6 linked regions of the Cricetulus griseus genome follow. The protein of the gene in region 4 interacts with the protein of the main gene of each other region in a pairwise test. Links are inferred from orthologs where the notes say so. Each region holds a gene or a part of one and is shown on either strand. Other genes may lie near its edges. The genes, in order: C3H16orf70, Ewsr1, Dnm2, Atxn3, Rad23b and Arhgap19.

Region 1 (4,069 bases), on a different chromosome or scaffold from region 4:
AATAATTCCCAGTCTGGTTTGAATTAAAGATCAGTTTAGGTGGGGGTGGGGATCCACTTTTTGTTTTTGGAGACTCATCCCCAGTGTCTCAGGCTGGCCTTGAACTCTTGAACTCTCAAGCGTGACCTTGAACTTCCTTATAGCCCAACTGTGGGATTTCTGGCAGGCACAAACACCACACCCAGCCTCTAAACATATCTAACTACACGTGACAGCCTTTATTCATCCTCTTCCCCACTGGACATCCCAGTGACCCAGTTGTTGTTTTGGCATGCAACGATGCTACTCAAAGACATCCTACTAGTTTTGTTTTGTCTAGTGCCCATAGCAATGACTTCAAATTTTGATGAAACATCCCCTGTATGCTCCAGTGTAGCCAGTTTGAGTATTTAGTCTGTCACTTCCCTGCTAAATACAATCCTTGGGGCACAATAATGGTAATTGAGCTCTGCTTCCTAGGATCAAGAAACCTTGGATAAACTCCCTAAGCCCCATTTATCCCTCTATGAGACTGAAGGTGCAAAGTCTTGTCATCAAAAGTGGCTTCCGCAGCTTTTTAATTTTGGGATGCCCTAGTGCAGACAGGCGGAGAGTTAAGGCTAAACACAGCCAGAGATGCCCCTCTTCACTCAGGGGAAACAGGCACAGAATGCTAAAGGGTTTGGGCAAGACCATAAAGCATTAGCAAGCAGCAAAGCTGGTTTCAGGCGGAGCTGCTGGAGGCAGCCTCTATCCTTAGAACGTATGCCCCAAACTTGAGCACTTGTGGATGAGACCTGGCTTGGAACCCTTCGCCCTTTCACTCAATCCTCTGGCCCCTAGCCCTTACCCAACACTCGCACATCCTCAACTATAAGGTGGACCCCGCTCAGAAACAACTAGGTCCGAGGAGGAGTCCATTTCTGCACAGCTAAAGATTGTTGCAGCCGGCGTCAGTACTATGGCAAGACAGAGATGATTGTGGGATGCCCGCAGGCCGTGAGTCTTTGAGCCTTCCTGTCCTGGCAGGTGTGTATACGGCAGCTTTATTTTTGTGTGATGTGTTGTGGGCGTTGTCCCTTTCCTTGTGTAGGCACGTATGGGGTGCTATGCATTTTTTTAGGGCCTCGGGAATGTGGCCCTTAGCTTCTAAAGCAGCCGTCCTTCCTGCTCTACTCGGCCGCCGCCTCGCCGGTCAGACCTCCACTACAGAATTCGCGCGTGCGTGACTCCTCCTCAGGCTCCGCCCCCTAGGTTGAGCTCCGCCTCTGCCACGCTTTACGGCCCGGCACGCCACTTTTGCTGCAGTTGCTCCGGTCGCGCCTGCTGCTATTGCTGGTCCTGCCGCGGCTGCTGCCCGGGAGGTGAAGGGAGGTGAAGTGTGTTGTTGTGTCGGTGCTTCTGCCGCTGTCCGGAACGGAGTGGAGAGCCGGACGTCCGCGGGCTGGCGAGAGCGGCGAGTCAGCATCTGCGTGGTCTCCCCAGGCCGGGTCCTGTCTGCGCTGCTGCAGGGAGGCCGCCCGGCCCTGCGAACCGAACCAATGCTGGACCTGGAGGTGGTGCCTGAACGCTCTCTGGGGAACGAGCAATGGGAATTCACGCTGGGTGAGTGGGATCCTTTCAAGACCCTATTCGCTGGCCCCTTCCGCAGCTGGTCTCTGCCCCAGATGCCGCTGCGTCCGCGGCTCTCCGCCTTTTCGTACCCTCTGGTTCCAGGCTTTAAATATCCTCTCCTCCCGTCGGTCATAGGATAGGGCTTCAGCAGGGTCCTCTTAGGAGCTGGTACACCCCAGATACTTGTGAGAAGGTCCTGCGCTTTTGAATTGGTCTCTAGTAACCATCCCTGGGGTCTGAGGATAGATACTGTTGATTGCTATGTCCATTTTGCAGGCTAGTTAATAAATGGGTAGCACCCCTGATCAACCCCCTGGTCTCTGATCTATCTTCCTTTGGTTTTAGAAAGGTGCAGAGGGGTCGGGGGACATGGGTTACCTCTTTTGGAAGGAAAACCTAAGTTCGTATCTCATAATCAAGTGGTGCGGGAAATTGAGCTTGCTTTTGTTAAAGGAACTTCTGACTCGTTCTCTTAACGTGTGATGTCGTAATACTAGATGCCAGAGTGAAAAGTTGAGTGAAGTGGAAATTACACACAGCTTTGTAGACAGTTCAGTTTGTTCACTTTTGGGTTAGTTGGGCCTTTTATGTGAACAAGAATATTTGTATTTAGTAACTCCAGTGTGTTTACTTTATGCCAGCGGTAAGAAATGAGGGGTAGGAAACAGCTGCTGCTGCTTGTTTGTGTGGGCCTGAACCTCTGTCACTCTGGTGTGGGCTCCTAGACTGAGTCAGCTGGTCCATTTGATTATGGCTTATCCTTGAATGTAAAAGATTCAGATCTATAGAAACAGCATATTGGAGAAAACTAGCTGGGTAGATTGCTGCAAAGAACCTGCTGGGGCTCGGTGGCTGCCTACCTCCTGCCGGCTGTAGAAGTCAGTTTTATCAAGGAGTCTTGGCTCTCTTTTCTCAGAATTTAGACTTTCCTGTTTTATAGAGTTAGCAAAATTGAATGTGCTATGAAAATGTTCCATTCAACTGTGAGGCACCAGGAGCTTGATTGAAGAACTAATGGTGTTTGACTTCTAATTAATATCCTTTTCTTCCCTGACAACTCCTACCTAACCTAGACCTTCCTGCACTGGCTAAGAACCACAGCGTTCAGACTTCAGATGGTACAATTAGACTGGATCTCTTTGTTTGATTTAGTGAATATAGGAGATTGGTTGGGGTAAGGACATTTCCAGAACACTGAGCTATATTAACTAACTACCAAGGGACTCCTGGTAAATGTTTGACAATCAAACCCTAAGCTGCCAGTTTTCAGGAACCAAGGATTTGAGTAGTTCTTTCAAACTGTCTGCAGTAGCCAAAAATAATAGTACACTGGGTTCAGAGTTGAACTTTGGGGGGAAACTCAGGAAGGATCTGAACCTTTGTGATTACTTGTAAACATTCTCATTGTTGTTGTTTTTGTTTTTAAGTTGGGTTTAATTTGTTTGTTTGTGTTTTAGACAGGTCCTAGCCCAGACTGGCCTCAAACTCCCTATGTAGCTGAAGTTGATTTTGACCTATAATATTTCTGCCAAATGGGTTTGTGTAGTACTAGAGATCAAACAAGAGTGTGCCACCATATCCATCTAAAGTCTGGTTTGGGGGGTTGTTTGTTTTTGTTTTATTTCATGTGCATTGTTTTGCCTGCATGTTTGTCTGTGAGTATATAGAATCCTCTGGAATTGGAGTTACAAGCAGTTGTGAATTGCCCGGTGGGTGCTGTGAATTGAACCAGGGCCCCCTGAAAGAACAGCTAATGCTCTTTAACCACTGAGGCATCTCTCCAGCTCCCAAGTCTGTGTTTGTTATTTTAAATTTATTTAGGAGGGAAGTACCAGAGTTTGATTTTACACACACACACACACACACACACACACACTCTCCATTTCTGGCTTCAGCAGGCAAACATCCATACACATTTAAAAAAAAAATGTATGGGGGAGGAACTCGTGTGTGTGTGTGTGTGTGTGTGTGTGTGTGTGTGTGTGTGTGTGTGTGTGTGGTGTGTGTGTGTGTGTGTGTGTGTGTGTGTGTGTGTGTATGTGTAACCTGCAGGAGTTGGGAGTTGGTTCTCTCTGCCATCTGAGTCCTAGTGATCAAACTCAGGTCATCAAGTTTGACAATAAGCACCCTTGCTCACTGTGCCATCTTACTGGCCCTAAAATCTGCAGTTTTATGGAAATCCAGAACTGGGTGTGATGACACAGGACTTTAATCCCAGGATTCCAATTTTTGTTTGTTGGGTTTTTGTTTTTTGTTGTTTGTTTGTTTGTTTTGAGACAGTGTATCTACATGGCACTGGCTATCCTGGAACTCAGCTATGTAGACCAGGTTGGTCTGAGAGATCCACCTGCCTACCTCTGGCATTAGCCACCACACCCATAAGTACATTATTAAAGGAAATAGAAGGCTCATTTTAGAAATTACCCAATGAGATGCCAAACCACAAGTTTTAAAAATAAGGGCTTTTTGTTTTGGG
Region 2 (4,068 bases), on a different chromosome or scaffold from region 4:
CAGGGTCACCTAAATTGAAGCTTCCTCTTGCACCTTCTCACAACCATTTCATCCCTGAGCACTAAGGGACTGGTCCATAGACATACAGAACTGGGCCTCCAGTGCTCTGGGCCAGTCTCCAACCGTATCTTCAATTAATAAAATGAAACTTGTAAGAATCAAGTAATGAATTCATCTGCTGCTCCTAGCACACAACACAAGCAGCAGTTTTTCACGGTGAGTCCCTAGGTAACAGACTCCGGGTGCCTGGATCTCTCACCTGAGGAAGTGAGTTTACACTGGTGGCCACACATCCAGCTCCCCACTCTCTTGCCGCCCTCTCGCCAGGGAATCTGGGAGCCTGGCTTTAGACTTAAGCGGTGAAACCACTCCCATCCTTAGAAAGGTGTGACACGCCTACTTCTCCCACATGGGCCCTAATTTCTTCAGAGTCCACGCCCGCCATGCTAGTGTTTGTATAGTCTGTCCATGGTGTTAGTAACTCTTAAAAAAATTCACACGCAAACAATCCGCTTCAATGTCCCTCTGGAACCCTCGACAGAGACCTCTTAATTATGCACCATCACACCCTGCCTACCTTATTGGAAAGCCAGGAGGACAGAATGGGAATTCAAGGACAGGGAAGATGATGCTTCCGGGTGGTACACAGAGGGGGGGGGAGTCCCGGGGTCTGGGTCGAGTTCAGCTTTGTAACTTTGGGGGAAGTACTCAATTTCTTGAGCCCGGGTTTCCTTTTCTGCTAAAACAAGGGTATTGGTTGAAGGACGAGTACAGGGCTTCTCAACTCCGACGGTTAAGGGGGTCGGCCGCGGCAATCCCGGCCTCCCTCCCCAGCCGACCGACCTCAGTCCCTCCCCCCGCCCTCTCGGGCCACGCGTCCGAGGTCCCCAGAAGCACGTTCCCCCTACCCTGAAGACCGGGTGGGGGGGGGCCGCCTGGGAGTCAGGCCGCCAGCTCCCGGCCGAGATCTAGGTGCCCCAAACCCACTGCGCGCACAGCGGGCGCGTGATCCCGCCTGCCGATTAGTCAGCAGTTGTTCCAGGCCGGGATCCCTTCCCCCAGCGCTCCCGCCAGCCTCCGTCTCCCTCCAGGACAGACTCTTCAGAGACGGCCCCTAGAGCCGGCGGGCGTAACCATTCCAAACCACCCAGCCTCGTGCAGACGATCCCTCGGGTTTGTTGGTGACGCTCGCTCACTAGCGCGCTGGCCCCTGAGGTGCTTTCTCAGCCCGCGCGTCACGTCCGGCTCTTTAGAGAGGATTGGGTCAACGGTTTCGGGAGCGAAGAACCAGACTATCACGGACTCGAACCTCCTTGCCCACCCCCGCGGCCCGGCCCTATGGTAGCGTCCGAGGTTGCGGGTTTCGCGCCTGCGCAGTGCGGCGCCTAGGGGGAACGCGAGAGGGAGACGGACGTTGAGAGAACGAGGAGGAAGGAGAGAAAATGGCGTCCACGGGTAAGTGGAGTGGGATCGCGGTCGCGCTGGCGACGGCCGGGACACCCAAACTGGGGGGCGCTCGTCTCTGGGGGTGGCAGAGATGACTGAGTGGAATTGCCGAAAAGGGTTGGAGTTCGCGCCGCGACCCGACGAGCTCGGGGGGTCCGCGTTCCCCTCCCCCTCCCCCACCAGGCGGGCTGGTTCTGGAACCTTCCGGCGCCCGCGTTGCGCGCGAGGGCCTCGCGGTAGCTGGGGCGTGCGGGGCTCGCCTTGGCCTCCTTTGTGTGGCGGTTGTCGGTGTGGGTGCTCCGGGGCTCCCGCCACGTGGGCGGGGCCTGCGGCCTCCGAGGCCCAAAGGGGACCGCGACTGGGCCTCGAGCCCATCACCCCGAAGGCGCGTGAGGCGGGGTGTCGGATGGCGGCTCGAAGAGCCGCGGTCGGTTGCCCCCGTAACCTCTCTTACCATTGCTAGCCTGAGGGCAAGTGTTTCTTGTGTAAAGACTCAGATTTGAAAACAAACAAAAAGGCGTCGCGAGTGTGTGCGCCGAGGGGCGCCGGCTTAGGAGTAGGAGCCCCATTATCCTCCAGGCCTGCCTCGGCGCTACCAGGCTGCACCCGGAGTGGGCCTGCTCCACCTTTAAACCTAATGGGTCCCGCAGATCTGCCTTCTTCCCACTCGGAGGCTTCGGTTTTATCATGTGTTAACTCCACCACCTTCCCTATCCAAAAAATGCAGTGGCTTTTCCCGGGGTCCTTTTCTCAGCAAACGGCGCGGGGGATCGGTTGTGTAACAAGGCCGTGTGGATCCGGAGAGCAGAATCTTAACCAGAAATTTCTAGCATTTTTGATCTGGGAGAAACAGAAAGCCTCACCCCGCGCGTTTGCTCATTAAGCTTGCAGGCTTATTTCTTGGCCCTATTGAGGCCAGGGAAAGGAGACCGGTAGCCGACTTTAAAAAGTCGGCGGTGGGAACTCTAGGATGTGACGAATGTTGTCCTTAATGAGCGAGTGAGTGTAGCCGAGCACCAGCAGTTTGGTACGCGATTAGCTGGCACGGTGGCGATTTGTTTGCCTCTGGAGGAATTAGGGATTTGAAATATGGCCTTTGGAGACAGTAGGAGAAATCGAGGGGGGGGGAAGGTTGGGAAAGGTTCCAGCATCACAATTTAGCGACGCCAACGATGTAGTCAGTAAACAGGTAAATGCTGGCTTTTGATAGCAGGCTACCAAAAGTGTCCCTAAAGAGAGACCGAGAAACTACAGCCCAAAACATCCTGATGGGAAATGGCTTCTTTGGTGGGCCTTCTTACCCACTAAAGCCAAACAAGGCAATTGCAGATTTTTGCTTGATAATTGCTGCTTTTTAGTCATCTTTGTTCAAATCCTGTTTGCTGATAACCACCTTGAACCATATTCGAATTAAAAACATGCTCTGCTTTGTCCACAGCCTTGTCCCAGCTGAGGGAATCTTACTTAGGACTTAGTGTCCTTTCCTGGAAAATAGAGTTTAGCTAGACTTTTTCAAAGTTTTCTTGACACCGGGTGGTGTTGGCTGCGGCACACGCCTTTAGTCCCGGCAGAAGCAGCTGGATGGATCTGAGGCCAGCATGGTCTTATAGAGTAAGTTCCAGGACAGCCATGGCTACACAGAGAAACCCTGTCTGAAGGGGGTCGAGGTGGTTTCTTGAGCTTTTCAGTCCTTAAAGCATTTGGACCCAAGAAATGCTTGTTGGCTCCAAGACATTATGTAGCCTAAATCTCCACATCTCTGCAGCTTGGCTAGTGACTTCCCTGAGTCAGGCTCTGCCTTAGGGAATATAGTTCCCTCCATCTGTATCTTGTAGAATAGTGCCTACAGAGTATGTCCAATAAAGCAGAATTATAGTACCCAAATAACTACTATCAGAACAAGAAGTAAACATTACCAGGCATTCTTGAGCCCTCCGCACCCATCATAGCCCCTTTGCCTGCCTCTTTAACTGTATTTTGGGGTATAGTTTTTCAATTGTTAAATTATCAGACCGTTGTTTCAGTGCCGTGTTTGAGACAGTAGGAGATTTGTATACTGTATTAGGTAGATACACATGAGTTAGGGTGGTTGCTTCCCTTAGCCCACCAAATCCTCCGGTTTCACACTGATTTGAGTTGGTTAGCTGTTCTGTATCAGCTTTGCCAATTTTATGTAACTGCTCTTGTATAAGTCTTTTGTAAACATTGAGGTTAATGTCAGTGATTCAAAAATCTCTTTTTTTTTTGGCACAGAAACTTTAACAAAATGAAGGTTTCAGTGTTTGGATTTAGATGCTTTGTTGGTGTATTTTACAAATGCTACATGGAAGGACGTAGTTTTTAAAAATTTTATTTCGTATGAAGAATGTAGCCAGTCATAGTTTAATCCTAGAGCTTGGGAAGCAGAGGCAGATAGAGTTTAAGGCCAGCCTCATCTACATAGTTCCAGCTGGAGCTACATAGTGAGACCCTGTCTCAAAAAGCAAACAAACAAAAGAAGGTGACAAGTAGGCAAGGTAGCACACACCTGTAATCTCGGTAATTAGGTTGTAGAGAGTTGTAGTGGTATGGGGTCTGTAGCTAGCTTGAGGCTAAGTAGTTAGACCTTGTCTCAAAGGAAAA
Region 3 (3,500 bases), on a different chromosome or scaffold from region 4:
CTTGCAGAGAACCTGGGTTCAGTTCCTAGCACCCACATGGCAGCTCACAACCACCTAGAACTGTAACACCAGGGGATCTGATGCCCTCTTCTGTTCTTCACCCAGACACATGTTAATAAAATGAGATAAGAATTGTTTGAAGCCAGGAGCTGGAAAGGAGGCTAACTTGGTAGAGTTGTCGGAGGACCTGAGTTTTGGATCTCCAGCATCCATGTAATATAAGATAAGCATCCACACACTGGGATTGCGGAGACAAAATGATCTGTGTTCCCTGGGCAGCTTGTCCAGCCAAATTGTGTTCAGTGAGAAACTGTCAGTAAGACAGGGAAGGATTTAGGAAGACACTGGACAGCATCCTTTCTCCTGCCTGTGTCACACATGGCACAAAAAAAAAAAAAAAAAAGCAAGAGAATGAGCTAATATATTGTGATCAGCTGAGTGTGGTGGCAAAAGCAGTCTGTGACAGCAGCAATCCTTACAGCCTTTTATTCCTTTTTTTTTTTTTTTTTTTTTGAGGGGATGAGGGGGTGCATATCTTATAGCCCAGAATGTAGAGATCCAAGGGTGACATTGAGGAGTCGGTGTCTTCCTTGCATCATTTTCTTCCCAGTGACAAGTGCCTTTACACATTGAACCAGATTGCTGACCACCCTTCCTCCCACAAATACACTTCTCTTTTTCTGTTGTTACACAAACTATCTATGTGCTGCTTAACGGTTGCCAAGCACTCCAGTGCTCATCCTGTTAGCCTGCTCTGCATATACTCAGACTGAGGCTCACAGTGCAGTGCCACTTAATCAAACTTTCCCAGCCTGTCTATGGTGGAGCCCTATGCAACCAGGGTAGAGAGGCAACAGAAACTACAGATGCCCCCCTGGCCTGTTGGGACCTGCTGTCTTGACAGTCATACGATAAATCAAGGGCTGCATAGAGTCCATGAGAACAACCAGGATGGTGCCCAGTGCTTGCCAAAGCAGCTGTGCTATTTTAATCATTTTTTAAAAACATGTATACATAGTCTGGAGAGATGGCTTAGGGGTTAAGAGCACTGGCTCTTCCAGAGGCCTCTTCCAGGGGTCCTGAGTTCAGTTCAGTTCCCAACCACCACAACCGTCTATAATGAAATCTGGTGCCCTCTTCTGGAGTTCAGACACATATGCAGGCAGAACATTGTATACATAATACATAAATCTTTAAAAAAAAAAAAAAGCAAAACAAAAAAACCCTTGTATACATTGGCTGTTCAAGTTATATTTAAAAGGAACAAAAAATGGCCAAACATGGTGGCATACATACACCTGTAATACTAGCACTTTGGAGGCTTGGGCATAAAGGTCTTTAGTTCAGGGCCACCTGGGATTACAAAGCAAGATCCTGTCTTCAAAAACAACAAAATGTAAAAGACAAGAAAATTATCCACAGGACTGACAAGTTGGCTCAGGGGGTAAACATGCTTGCTGCCAAGACTGATACCCAAGTACTTATCCCCAAGACTCACATAGTGGCAGGAGAGATCTGACTCCCACAGCACCCCCAACCCTACTTGTACACTGTGGCATGCCTCCCCCAGTAAGTACATGTAACTTAAATGTCTTTTTAAGAAACAAAGTTTGCCACAGAAACTTCTGTCTTGGCTGTTTTCTTTCCTTGAAGGATGGTCCAGCAGTTTGGAGTGGACTTTGAGAAGCGAATCGAGGGCTCTGGAGACCAAGTGGACACACTGGAGCTGTCTGGGGGGGCCCGAATCAATCGCATCTTTCATGAACGCTTTCCCTTTGAACTGGTAAAGGTAGGTGGTCAGTCTGGAGGGTACATCAGACACCCGGATGTGTTTGGTCTCTGTCGTGGCCTTAAACTTTCTTCCAAAGCAAGATGTCAGGAGCTCTGCATCATGCTGGAGGCTGCTGTCAGTAAACATGGCCTGAAGGGCATGTCACATCCATCTTCCCAGATCTCACAGATTAGATGTTCTGGGCAGGACAGTAGGAAAGTCCATGTTTCTTCCATTGATGAAGGGAAAAAGATACGTGATGGCCAGCAAGATGGATCAGCAGGTAAAGGCACCTATCTCCAATAGGAAGCAGAGTACCAACTCCTGGGAAGTTTCCTCTGATGAACCTCAGCCCCTCCTACAAACATGCACATACAACAAATAAAAATCTTATACAATTCTGGGCTTACAGCAATATTTCCAGAATTCTGTAAGCTCAGGAGGAAAGTGAGTTTGAAACTATGTGGCCTACAGGAGACTTTGTCTCAAAAAAGTGAAACAAATTCAAACAAAATCAAAAACAAAAGCCAGGAATCCCAGCACTTGGGAGGCAAAGGCAGGTCAGTCTCTGAGTTCCAGGACAACCAGGTTACATAGCAAGAAGTCCTGTCTCAAAACAAAACAAAAAAAGTAAGCAAAGTGTGCGTTTGTGTCCTTTTCCTTTGAGGCAGTGACTGTCTTGCATGCATAGGTGCAGACATACCAGCCAGTATGGAGGTCAGAGGACAGCATCCAGTGTCACTCGCTTTTATGTTTGTTTTTACAAGACTGTTTCTCTGTCCTGGAATTTAATCTGTAGGCCAGGCTGGCCTCAAACTGGGACCAAAGGAGTGTGCTCGTCCCCGTCCCCGTCCCCGTCCCCGTCCCCGTCCCCGTCCCCCCCAATCCCAGCTATTACTCTTATTTTTTGAGGCAAGGTCTCATTGTAGCCTAAGTTGGCCTTAAATTCTCAGTCAGTCATGACCTTGTGATCATCCTGTGCTAGGGTTACAGTCATGTTTATTATCACATGCAGTTTATTCATGTGTATGTGCCAAGCACTCAACCAATAGAGCCCTGGTCCACCTGTCCTTTTTCTGAGATGGCATCTCTCATCTGCCTAGAAGTTAACCAGTAGGCTAGACCTGCTGACTGAAAAGACTTTATCTTTTTTATTTTATGAGTGTTTGTCCTGATGTGTGTAAGTACACATACCTAATTGCCTGCAGAAGCCAGAAGAGGGCAGAGGATCCCATGGAACCAGAGTTATAGACAGTTGTAAGCCACTCACTATGTGGGTGCTAGGTTCTTTGCAAAAGCAGCCAGTGCTCTTAATGCTGAGCCATCTCTGCAGCCAAATACACCCAGCTTTATGTATAATTTTGTGTGTGTGTGTGTGTGTGGTGAGAGGGGTGGTATCTATTTAGTGTGTGGAGGTCAGAGAACAACTTTTAGGAGTTCTTTCCTTCTACCAAATAGATTTTGGGGGTGCCTATAGGCATGGAAATCAGGATTCACTAGACTCAGTATAAGTGAAGTGGAGTTTATTGGGGAAAAAGAACTTACACAGGAAACAAGTGACTATGCATTGCTCCAGCTCCAAGGATGCAGACCCTGTTACCCTGGTGCTGTCTACGACCCGAAAGGGCTTCCCAGCCCCAATTCTTTGCCTTTTAACTGACCACATCCACACCTGTGACCACACCCTTTTGGTGCTACAGGTGCGGAGGTGAATATCACTACAGTGATA
Region 4 (3,500 bases):
GGGATCGAACCCAGGGGCTTGCATACACTAGCTACATCCTTACCTCCTGTGTCTACTTTTTTTTAGTGTTATGTGTGTGTGTGTGTGTGTGTGTGTGTGTGTGTTTATTTTTTAAGAGTATTTGAGAGATTCATCCACATTGTTGCAGCTACTTGTATTTAATTTACTTTTATCCTTCTATACTGTTCTTTTGGAAGTACACTTTTGTGATCTAGACTGTGTTGGGGTGCTTTCCAGTTTGGAAGCATACAAGTAGTGCTTTGGTGAGTGCGTTTGCAGTGTCTGTGTGTAACAGCAGAGCACATGGATGAGCTCTGGTAGAGATGAAAGTTACTGGAGAGTGCTTTCCCGAGGTTATACTTAACTCCTGTGACAACCATTTTCTATAATTCTAAACCTCTCCTCTGTAATAGCTGACCCAGAGACTGGATAATAGTAACACATTGTAAATTTTCTTTTATAAAAATACAACTTTTGGGGGCTGGAGAGATGGCTCAGCGGTTAAGAGCACTGACTGTTCTTCCAGAGGTCCTGAGTTCAATTCCCAGCAACCACATGGTGGTGGCTCACAACCGCCTTGAATGAGATCTGGTGCCATCTGCCTGCATGCAGGCAGAAGACTGTATACATAATAAATAAATAAATAAAATCTTTTAAAAAAATACAATTTTTAGGGCTGGAGAGATGGCTCAGAGGTTAAGAGCACCGACTGCTCTTCCAGAGGTCCTGAGTTCAATTCCCAGCAACCACATGGTGGCTCACAACCATCTGTTATGAGGTCTGGTGCCCTCTTCTGGTGTGCAGATATACATGGCAGCAGAATTTTGTATACATAATAAATAAATAAAATCTTTAAAAAAAGATACAATTTTTAGCTAGGTGTGGTGGTGCATGCCTTTAATCCCAGCACTTGGAGACAGAGGCAAACAGATTTGTATGAGTTTGAGGCCAGCTTGGTTTACATAGTGAGTTCCAGAGCTACAAAGTGAGACCGTGTCTGAAAAACAACAAAAACATTTTTTAGGGCCTGGAAAGATAGCTCAGCAAGTAAAGCACGTACTGCCAATCCTTAAAACCTGAGTTCGGTCCTTGGGACTCACATTATGGAAGGAGAAAATTGAATTCTTCAAGTTGTCCTCTGCATCCCCTCCAGCCAATCAATTAATAAGTATAATATTTAAAAATCATTGTTTTAGTGTGTGTGTGTGTGTGTGACATGCATGCTAGTGCTGGCATGCAGATGGCCAGGTGTGCATGTGGAGGTCAGAGGGCAAGTACCCAGGAGTCATTCTCTCTTTCTACAGTAGCATCTGGGGATTTACAGTGGGCACCTTCACCTGCTAAGCCACCTCTTGTCCTGTGCTACGGTTTTGATACACATGTCCATGATGACTACAGAAGTTGAGATCTTTTTTTTTTTTTTTTTTTTTTTTTTTTTTTTTTTTGCCTCTTGACTATCTTGTGAAATGTTTGCATTTTCAATAGGGTATAAGTAGAACATCTGTACGTTTCTACCTCGTAGTGGGTGGTATTCAGTAAAAGTTGCTCCTAGCAGTAGATGGACAGTAGAAGGAAAACAAGGCAGAGATAAAGAATTCTGTTACCATGTGACTGCAACTTGAAGGGATACTTAACTAGCTCCAAGCCACCCTAGGCAACATGCCTTGGCAGACTGTGAACATAAGCTTGCTCTAGCTGTGTGTCAGATGTAAGTTCTCTGAACTCTGCCTGTTCCATGACAGACATGTGTACTATATCTACTTCAGCAGTTACATTTTGTTCCTATAACCTTGATTCATCAGGGGAAAGTGAATCTTGTAAGGTGTGCTTTGGAGTCATCACTTGTCATGTAACAGCTTAGACCATGGGGCATGATGCCTGGCAGGTTGAGTTCAGTAGGCTTTGTTGGCCCTTAGAGAGCCAGAGTTAACAGAGGAAGTGTTCTCTGCCTCTGCCTCCCAGAAGGCAGGCTTAGGGTCTGTGTCCACTGGACTCATCCACTCTTTACCCATAGCTTAGGAAAGCAACACTGTTAGGAGCAGGGGAGTGACAAGAAGGCTGCTCAGTGTCAGGCTGACTGGATTGGTTAGTGCGTTCCATTTGTGTATGAAAGCCAGCTAACCAGCATTAGAAGCCACTTGACTTGTGGGATGATGTACCCAACCTCCAGGAGAGGATGCTAAGGACTCCTTAGGGAGCTAAACTTGGCCGCAGTTCCTCTCGCTAGCCTGTCCACTCATGGGTATGGACTGTCGTCAGCTTGGGACACTTCTCTTTCCTATATGCTACATGGAATGAGTCTGCAAAGTCGGCCGATGAGAGCTTCAGCTCTAGAGCTGTGGGTCTTAACCCAAAACAGAATTGTTCCCACTTGTTCCTGAGTTTGAAAGGACAGGCTTTTAAGGTCAAATAGCAACAAACTAGTTAGAAGAATGAATGTTCTAGGAGATAACATTCCCTTTTTCCAGAAGTAATTTGTCATGGAATCTCAAAAGACGAATTCTTGTAGGTACTAAAACATTCAAAAGGCTAAATGTTTTTATAGGGCCACTTTTAGGCTTATATGAGATGGGATAGATGAAGTTATACTGTAAATCATTCTTCATTTTTGTTCCTATAGTTAAATGGCTGTAAAATAAGTGTGGACAAATGAAAATGCATATACCTGTAAATCGGGTTTGCCTAAGGCTAATAATGTTTGACTGTATTAAAAAGTTATAATTAAATTTTTTAGAAGATACTATATAAATCTGCTTAATAAATCACATTTCAATTTATTCTTTTGGAAACACTAGCAAGAAGGCTCACTTTGTGCTCAGCATTGCCTGAATAATCTATTGCAAGGGGAGTATTTTAGCCCCGTGGAGTTGTCCTCAATTGCACACCAGCTCGATGAAGAAGAAAGGATGAGAATGGCAGAAGGAGGAGTTACTAGTGAAGACTATCGCACATTTTTACAGGTACTGATTTCAGACTTACCAAATCCCGTTTATTTTTAACATGCGGGTGTTCTTTAAAGGAGGATGAGCCATTCTCCCCTTCGGAGTCTGACTTGTTAATTATAACTCTGCTCTTCTCTTGGTAAATGGGACTGTACAGCATGTTCTTGTAAATGTGCACACTAATGACAGTTTTTAATCCTTTTCCCATCCCTCTGCCCACAACTGCCCATGAAAATTGAACAGCAGCCTTCTGGAAATATGGACGACAGTGGCTTTTTCTCTATTCAAGTAAGTAGTCCAGAGTGTGTGTGAAGTGCTGCCTCACTTTCAGCGCTGCTGTGCTCACGCTCCGTTTGCGGTTGATGTGGCACAGCCTGGCACAGCTTTTTATGTAACGATGGAACCTTCAGGAGTTCCCTCGGTAAACTGTCTGGAGAGGATAAGACTGTGCTCCAGAGTGCTGTCCACAGAGAGATGAACATTAGAACTGTAGACTATTCATTTAGAACAGGGCTTTGGTCGCTTGCTTGCTTAGGACAGGCAGGGTCCCACTATGTA
Region 5 (4,082 bases), on a different chromosome or scaffold from region 4:
AGAGGATCTCTCTGAGTTTCAGGACAGCAAGGGCTACATAGAGGAACCTGTGGAATAACAGCAACAAAACCAACTAATCTAAACCCTGATGGGCAGTGGCCATATAGCTTGTATCCCAGCACAGGGGAGGCAGAGGCAGGTGGTTTTCTGTGGGTTCCAGGCCAGTCAGGACTACATAGTGAAACACTGTCTCAAATACATGAGTGAATAAACAAATAAAAGAGAAAATGTGTGTGTGCTAAAGTATGTACTCACTATAGATGTAAATAAAGAGGGTATGGGGCAAGTACTGGTACAGAGCTTGTCTAGTGTGCATAAAACCCAAACCAAAGTCCCTGTACTGGATCCCCAGCAACAAGGGGGAAACATGGAATCAAAACATGCCTTATAAAACATTTTTAACACTGGTTTTTATATTACATTAACAGTGACAAATATTTGCTCTAGTAACCAAAGTCAAAGAAGTCACTAACAACTTATCAAACATGTATTTCTAAAAGTAAAATATTACATCCCCTGGAAATAAACTTGTAAGCAATAAGCAAAGTTAGGAATTTAATACTGCACTGGCTTAAAGATAAGAGCAGACATGTAGAAGGCCTAAAGTGTGGCACACATTTTATACAGCATACATATTTCAGTAATATGAAGTTACTGCAACATCCCAACAAATACAGATATTAAAGAAATAAAGTAAGACCTATTTCTGTTTTGGTGATTCTGGGATAAATTAATATTATAAGCTCAAAAAGCTACCATGACTTATTTCATCATTTATCACCCCCAATGAGCCAAGGAAAGCAAGCATTTTACATACTGTGCTGGTGATGGACCTTAGGGACTCACACATGCTTGCATCCCCAGTCTCGAACAGTACTCAGTAGTAAAGGAAAATCCGTTAAGAATTTTATTCTACAGAGCCACAGTCCACTAGGTTATAACCAATGCTTCTGAGAAGATTTCAGAGTTCTCATATGTAATTGGTTATTTTCTGTACCTTCAAGAATTACTGCAGAAGTCTGCAAATGAAATAACTGCATATAAAATCATTTTGTGCCACAATTTCAAAAAGGTCGGAATTCTCGGCTTCTTAAGAATGTAGGAGATTGCAGGGCAGTGGTGACACACGCCTTTAATCCTAGCACTCCTTTAATTCCAGGGAGGCAGAGGCAGGAGGATCTCTGTGAATTCGAGACCAGCCTGGTCTACAAGAGCTAGTTCCAGAACAGCCTCCAAAACCAGAGAGAAATTCTGTCTCAAAAAAAAAAAAAAAAAATGTAGGAGACTTTACAATATTAGATGAGATAGGTAAAACATAATACAGTGTCTTCACAGAAACATATCTATACTGATTACGTAGTAGGGCTCATTTATGAACCAACTAAATAAATGCCACTTAATCCTCACATGTCTGTTGGTGCTATTCCTGCTTCAGAAAACGAAACAAGGTAATTTGTTCACGTTGTAGTAAATGAGTTACAGAGCCACAATAGAACTCGGGTCTATTTAATTAACACCTCGTTCGTGGATCTTCAACCAAAATAGAATCAGTCATTTAAAAAAAAACCCACAAATATGCAAAAATTTGCTGGCTTACTACAATTCCAAGCACGTGAGGAAATTTACACGCATGGCATTTTTAAGAGTCCTGACAGAAAGTTGTATTAACTTCAATACAGTACATCTTTTTATAGGCAGAACTTAAGACCACAGCACTGGAATTTATCACGTGAACTCGGTAAGTGTAATCGGCTCTGGACGCAAAGTTTTTGTAGTCTTTTTTTCCTCCCTTCCAATACTACTACTGTTCTGGGAGTCCGAGCGTGCAGGTTCCCAAGACGACGGAAAGACCTGGTTTAAATCGAGATCTGAAGGTTTCTAGTGCAAAAATTCACCACCGAGGCCCCAGAGTGTAATCTACCTGTGGGTGTGGGTTCGGTGGCTGGGGAGGGGGGGCGGGGGACGTAAAACTATCCAAGGTAAGATATATATAAAAGGGTTCCTTCGAAGAGGCAAAGAGTTCATTTAACCCACTGGCTGCAGACAAAATCAGGCACATTTAAGGCCCATCATCTTGAGTAACCGACCCCTGAACCTCCGCACCCAACCAGGTCGTGGGAGGGTGGTGGCGACGCCTGGGTCTCCCTCCCCCACCTGTGTGTGCACTTCAGGCCAAGCTCCAGCGCCCAGGCCTCCAGGCCTCCCCTCCCCCTCCGGCCCCACGGACCACGCGCTCCGGGCCGCGGCCTCCAGTGCCCGCGCGGGCCCGTGCTGCTCCACGCCATCAGCCTCCAGGCCTTCCCGGTTCCCGGCCCACAAAGCCCGCGGTGACCTCACGCCCCCCTGGGGCCCTCCCGCGCCACCCGGACCCGGGCCCGCGCTCCCCTCGCCCTGCGGAGCGTACCGTCTCCTCCGGGTCGATGTCGATCTTGAAGGTCTGCTGCTGAAGGGTCTTCAGAGTGACCTGCATGGTGCCTGCGCCAGGGCCTGGCCGCCCCGGGGTGGCCGCGATCCTCGCGCTCTCAGGAGGAAGGCGGTGGGGGTGGGGGCTTGTCACATTCGCCCCGCCGAGTCTCGCTCGCCCCGGGCCCCTCGTCCCCTGGCCGCGCCGCCGATCCCGCCGCCTTCGCCGCAAGCTCGGCCAGCGGTGCCTCCTCACGCGCCAGCCACCGGGCCCGCAGGAGGCGCGAAGGACTCCCCGACAGCCGCAGAGAATCCGCTACCTCACCACAGGATGGTGGCCGCCATCACCGTGACTCGCCGAGACGTGCCCCCTCCCCCACCAGAAAAACCCGGAGGATGGGGCCAGACCCGGGCGATCTGAGCAGGCGCGGGGTGCGGCGAGGCAGTGCGCAGGCGTGAACAGGAACTCCGCCCGGGAATTGGAGGCGGGGCGATGGGAGGAGCTGGAATGTCGGCGGCGCGCTGCGGGCGTGCGCAGGCGCACATCGCGGGCCGCGGCGCTCTGGGCGGCCTGGTCCGGTCCGCCCGCCTTCCGTCGCCCCGCCTACGTCCAGGCTCCGCCTAGCGGCCCGAGTTGCGCAATCCGTAGCCGGGGAACGGCTACGTGGAGACCGGGTTGAGTGGTTGAGGAGCAAGGAGCATGGAACCTAGAGGGCGGTGGAGCGGGCGGAGCCTTAATGGAAGGATTGTCTAGGGCCGGCCCTGATGGGGCGCACGTCGCGGGCTGTGCGTGTGTAATGCCGGTGTTGCTTCTCTGATCCCGCGACAGACTCCAGCGCTGTACTGCTTGCTTGCGCATCTTGCGTTCTCTCACTGGCCTTGGGATCTCCGACCTACAAAGAAAGGCGGTTATAAGAAGGAGGCCTAGTTGTTTCACGCCTTTCAAAGCTTCGTTTGCTAAACCTGTTGTGGGGTTATTGGTGGCTATTAAGCAGTTGCCCTCTGTCTCACCCCAAGCGCTTTCCTTTACACCTGGGCCCTTCTAATCTTTGCTCAGATGTCGCCTTCTAGGTGAAATCTATCCTGCCTACCCTACTTTAAGTAGCAACTTATCCAGATCCCATTATCCAGCTTTATTTTTCTCTAACATTTATGACCTTCTGATCACTATATATACAATATATGTATTTAGCATGCATGCCATCTCTTCCTTTACCCTAACCCCCAGCCTGAAGCTGCTCAAAGACATGGATTTTGTTCTGTCTACAGTACACCCCCAGATCCTACAAAATGCGTCTAGCATTGGACATTGGAGGAATGGGTGGACATGCTTCTGGTTCCTTAGCAGTAAAAGTGAGATGTCTCATTGGTGGTTGGAGAGAGTGGAATGGTGCAAGAAAGTCTTAGTGTCAGGAGCATAAAGTTAAGTGCTTAGCTTTAGCAGTATGTCCATTTACACAGATATAAGACTGGAGTGCAGAGGTGTCAAGTATTAAGCACCCAGTCACAGGACTAGTAAGTGACACCATAGGTGCTTGTCTGTATGCTGCTTCTTACTAGTTAGACTTAAAAAAGTGAGAATGGATGAAAAGCAGTTACAATCAGACCACAGTGAGGGCAATTACAAACGACCTCTCTGAGCCAGTATCCTCAAGGATACAATATCACTATTTGGATTT
Region 6 (3,500 bases), on a different chromosome or scaffold from region 4:
CTGGCCCAGCCGCAGGGTTCTTCAGGTCTCTAATGTCTCTCAAGCGGAAGGGTAGGTCCTGTGTCTGGGTTTTTGCTGCTGATTGGGCTTTATTCTCTTGAAAAGAATTTAGAAATTATGTTATCTATTGTGCCTGCTTGTTTGTGTACCAGGTATATGCAGGTGCCCACGGAAGCCAGAAGATGGTGTCAGATGCCCTGGAACTGAAGTTACAGGCAGTTGTGAGCCATGCCAGGTCCTCTGCCAGAGTAACAATGCTGTTAACTGTTGAAGGGGCTCCCAGAACTGTGCTCTATCCCCTTAACATTTTCACTCTCACTGGGAAGTTGTAATTCTCCTAAAGCTTTTTTCGTCTTCTCCCCTCATTTTCATTAGTAGAACTTTAGGCAGTAATAATAAAAATTATAAGACTGTCTATGTGAAGAAATACTTAAACCTGGTATGGTGATGCAAATCTTGTAATCTCAGCATTTGGGTGGTTGAGGCAAGAGTATCTGAAGTCTGAGGGCAACTTGGACACATAGAAAGAGAGGAAAAAGAGGAGAAGGAGGAAAGGAGAGAAGATAGAAGATATATTCAGTGCCTGAAAGAGGATATGATTAGTTTAGGCAGTTATCAAGGGCATCTTAGTTTTCATGCCCAGTTATTGTACTAAAATAATATTTTTCAAGTGACCTTCCGTTCTTCCTTTCTCTTTTTCTTAATGAGTTGGTGTCTCACTCTGTTGCCTAGGCTGATCTCACTAGGCTCAAGTGATCATCTTGCCTTAGCCTTAGCTGGGACTACAGGAATGCACTGTTCTGTTCAGTTAAAATGATACCAGAGAAAATAAAGTTACATATCAGGGTAGTATAGTCAAGGAAGCCTGAACAATTACTGAAGATCAAATATGTATCTATATCTATATCTATATCTATATATCTATATAGATATATATTTTGTCTGCCTCCTTCCCCTCCAACTCCCCTGGACTCTGCCCAAGTATATCCCCATCTGAGTTTCATGTTCTCTTTCCTTCCTTTCAGTCTATTTTAGACAGGATCTCATGTGTATCTCTGGCTGGCCTAGAACATGCTATGTAGAACAGGGTAGCTTTTTTGTTTTTGTTTTTTGTTTTTTTGAGACAGGGTTTCTCTGTGTAGCTTTAGAGCCTATCCTGGCACTCGTTCTGTAGACCAGGCTGGCCTCTGACTCACAGAGATCTACCTGCCTCTGCCTCCTGAGTGCTGGGATTAAAGGCGTGTGCCACTATTGCCTAGCTTTTTAAAAAATAACCTACAGAGTCTGATTTGTGCTGCCTGTATGCCCAGGGCTATGGGAACATGAAGAATTTACTAGTGGCTACACACTCAGAGAAAAATGGCTCTCCCTGTTCCAGCAGCCATCAGCAGCAATAGCTCCTCAGCTAGGGGAGGGGGTGTGTGGCTGTAATGCTAATGATTACTTGATCTTGTGAGGGTCTTATGCAGGTAACCATAGTTGCTGTGAATTCATAAATACAGTGGCTGTTTCATGTCCAGAAGAGAGCATTTCACAGCATTCTTCTCCATCCCCTGGTGCTCTCTCTCTCTCTCTCTCTCTCTCTCTCTCTCTCTCTCTCTCACACACACACACACACACACACACACACATCCCCTTTTATTTCATGTTCCTTGAACCCTTTGTAGAGAATGCTGATATTGATATCAGCTATTCACAGCACTGTGACCATTATGAGTCTCTACGTTAACTGATGCCCTCTTGGAAAAGGTTTTCTGCTTGAGGTTGAGAGCAGCTCACATCTGTAGCATACACATTTAAAGACAGTTTAACAGCTTGACAATTTAGCAAAACAATAGTAGGTTGCTCCTGAAGGCCTATGGACCTCCCCAGCCTTGGGCTTTTGACCAGGCTTACAGTACCAGATATGAATTCTCTCCCTTGGAACATGCCTCAAAGCCTATCAGGAAGTGCAGAGCACTACTTCTGTTTTCTTTTAATGATTTATATATATATATATATATATATTTCTGTGCATTGGTGTTTTGCCTGCATGTATATCTGTATAAGGGTGTTGGATCCCCTGCAACTAGTCACAGACAGTTGTGAGCTGCCATGTGGGTGCTGGGAATTGAACCCTGGTCCTCTGGAAGAGCAGCTATCTCTCCATTCCTGGAGCACTACTTTTGACAGAATATTAAAGAGGCCCTGATTTTATTATTTTTATTTTATTTTATTAAATATAAGAAAATCACTAAGGCAGGATGGAATATTTAAACATTAAAGATCATATCCTATACCAGTTCTAGTGAATAATTGTCATGACTCACAGTCATGGTTCAGGTTCTCTTTTTGTTTTAAATTAAATCTCAATGTGCTGGGTATTGTTTCTTAAATAAGGAAAAGTCTTCATCTCTAGGAATTCATGATCTGATGCTGATGCTGAATTCTCTGAGAGAATTGACTTGACAGTTGTTCTGGCAGCATTTTTTGGGGGTTTATTTCTAGTTTTTAGTCTTACTTTCTTAAAATTTTTGTTTACCAATGCTGTGAAAACATTACATGAAAGTAGAATGCTTGAATGCTTTTAAAATCATGGTATTTATGCTAGTAAGGAGGCTCAGCAAGTAAAGGCATCCACTGCCAGCCTGATGACCTGAGTTCAAGCCCCAGGACCACATGGTGGAAGGGGAGAACCATCTTCCTTAAGTTGTCCCTTGAACACCACGTTTGTCATGCCCCCTTTCCCTGAATAAATGAATATGTGTAAAAAGAATCGTTACATTGATGGCCTTGTACTCTTTATGTCATAAAGCCCTGTGACATATTTTTTTCAGAAAAAGGAGTGGTATTTGGATCTCCACTGACAGAGGAAGGCATTGCCCAGATATACCAACTGATTGAATATCTGCACAAAAGTAAGACTACTTAAGTATTTAATGAAGAATTGCCAGTTTTCCTTTGAGAGTTGACGGGTTAGTAGATGCCAAACTACCCATCAACAAAGAAATATACAACCGATTTTCAGGCTGTAGATTTTAAAAATATATTTCCTTTGGAATTTCATGTCAATTATTGATTTGCTTTGCTTTCAAAGATGAAGGTAAAGCAGATAATGTCTATGAAATCATAATTACCTATTAGACAATTCTGGAAGAATTCCTTTTTGTTCCTAAAGAATTATGACATCTGTTCAAGAAAGCATAATACTTCCATCTTCAGAGCTCTGTAATTAATGTACACATGAAATCTCATCTAGTTTTTAGTGGTCCTGTGGGTCGTGTCATTGCTCTAAGAGCTCAGCATAGCTAAGAACATGTAAAATGTGAAGCCTTTTATGTGACTTGATACATTTAAATACCAATCAAATATGCCTTTCTGACTTGCTGGGTGTTCGACGCTGTGTAGGAAGAGCACAATGGAGATTGTGGACTCAAGTCTTGAAAGGGTTTGTGGTGTCTGGATTTGTGGGTTTTTAAAAAGTTTTTACTTTTTTTTTATTTTGGCAAAAGATATGATTA

What was found.
Region 1: the proteins of Atxn3 (region 4) and C3H16orf70 interact in binary tests that used the Homo sapiens proteins (3 or more experiments, as listed by UniProt). The link is inferred for Cricetulus griseus from reciprocal best matches to the Homo sapiens genes ATXN3 and PHAF1.
Region 2: the proteins of Atxn3 (region 4) and Ewsr1 interact in binary tests that used the Homo sapiens proteins (3 or more experiments, as listed by UniProt). The link is inferred for Cricetulus griseus from reciprocal best matches to the Homo sapiens genes ATXN3 and EWSR1.
Region 3: the proteins of Atxn3 (region 4) and Dnm2 interact in binary tests that used the Homo sapiens proteins (3 or more experiments, as listed by UniProt). The link is inferred for Cricetulus griseus from reciprocal best matches to the Homo sapiens genes ATXN3 and DNM2.
Region 5: the proteins of Atxn3 (region 4) and Rad23b interact in a two-hybrid assay, tested with the Homo sapiens proteins (2 studies listed by BioGRID and IntAct). The link is inferred for Cricetulus griseus from reciprocal best matches to the Homo sapiens genes ATXN3 and RAD23B.
Region 6: the proteins of Atxn3 (region 4) and Arhgap19 interact in binary tests that used the Homo sapiens proteins (3 or more experiments, as listed by UniProt). The link is inferred for Cricetulus griseus from reciprocal best matches to the Homo sapiens genes ATXN3 and ARHGAP19.

Annotation. Positions count from the first base shown.
Region 1 is NC_048596.1:181,512,141-181,516,209, forward strand, and holds the start of C3H16orf70 (UPF0183 protein C16orf70 homolog), read left to right. Parts: upstream 1-1,269; 5' UTR 1,270-1,520; coding exon 1,521-1,584; intron 1,585-4,069. UniProt on the Homo sapiens protein: Plays a regulatory role in autophagic activity. In complex with BCAS3, associates with the autophagosome formation site during both non-selective and selective autophagy.
Region 2 is NW_023276807.1:99,798,542-99,802,609, forward strand, and holds the start of Ewsr1 (RNA-binding protein EWS), read left to right. Parts: upstream 1-1,268; 5' UTR 1,269-1,442; coding exon 1,443-1,455; intron 1,456-4,068. UniProt on the Homo sapiens protein: Binds to ssRNA containing the consensus sequence 5'-AGGUAA-3'. Might normally function as a transcriptional repressor. EWS-fusion-proteins (EFPS) may play a role in the tumorigenic process.
Region 3 is NC_048597.1:134,342,718-134,346,217, forward strand, and holds part of Dnm2 (dynamin-2), read left to right. Parts: intron 1-1,653; coding exon 1,654-1,789; intron 1,790-3,500. UniProt on the Homo sapiens protein: Catalyzes the hydrolysis of GTP and utilizes this energy to mediate vesicle scission at plasma membrane during endocytosis and filament remodeling at many actin structures during organization of the actin cytoskeleton.
Region 4 is NC_048598.1:104,076,435-104,079,934, forward strand, and holds part of Atxn3 (ataxin-3), read left to right. Parts: intron 1-2,795; coding exon 2,796-2,960; intron 2,961-3,185; coding exon 3,186-3,230; intron 3,231-3,500. UniProt on the Homo sapiens protein: Deubiquitinating enzyme involved in protein homeostasis maintenance, transcription, cytoskeleton regulation, myogenesis and degradation of misfolded chaperone substrates.
Region 5 is NC_048595.1:88,507,044-88,511,125, forward strand, and holds the start of Rad23b (UV excision repair protein RAD23 homolog B), read right to left. Parts: upstream 2,801-4,082; 5' UTR 2,471-2,800; coding exon 2,405-2,470; intron 1-2,404. UniProt on the Homo sapiens protein: Multiubiquitin chain receptor involved in modulation of proteasomal degradation. Binds to polyubiquitin chains.
Region 6 is NC_048596.1:19,760,191-19,763,690, forward strand, and holds part of Arhgap19 (rho GTPase-activating protein 19), read left to right. Parts: coding exon 1-51; intron 52-2,816; coding exon 2,817-2,897; intron 2,898-3,500. UniProt on the Homo sapiens protein: GTPase activator for the Rho-type GTPases by converting them to an inactive GDP-bound state.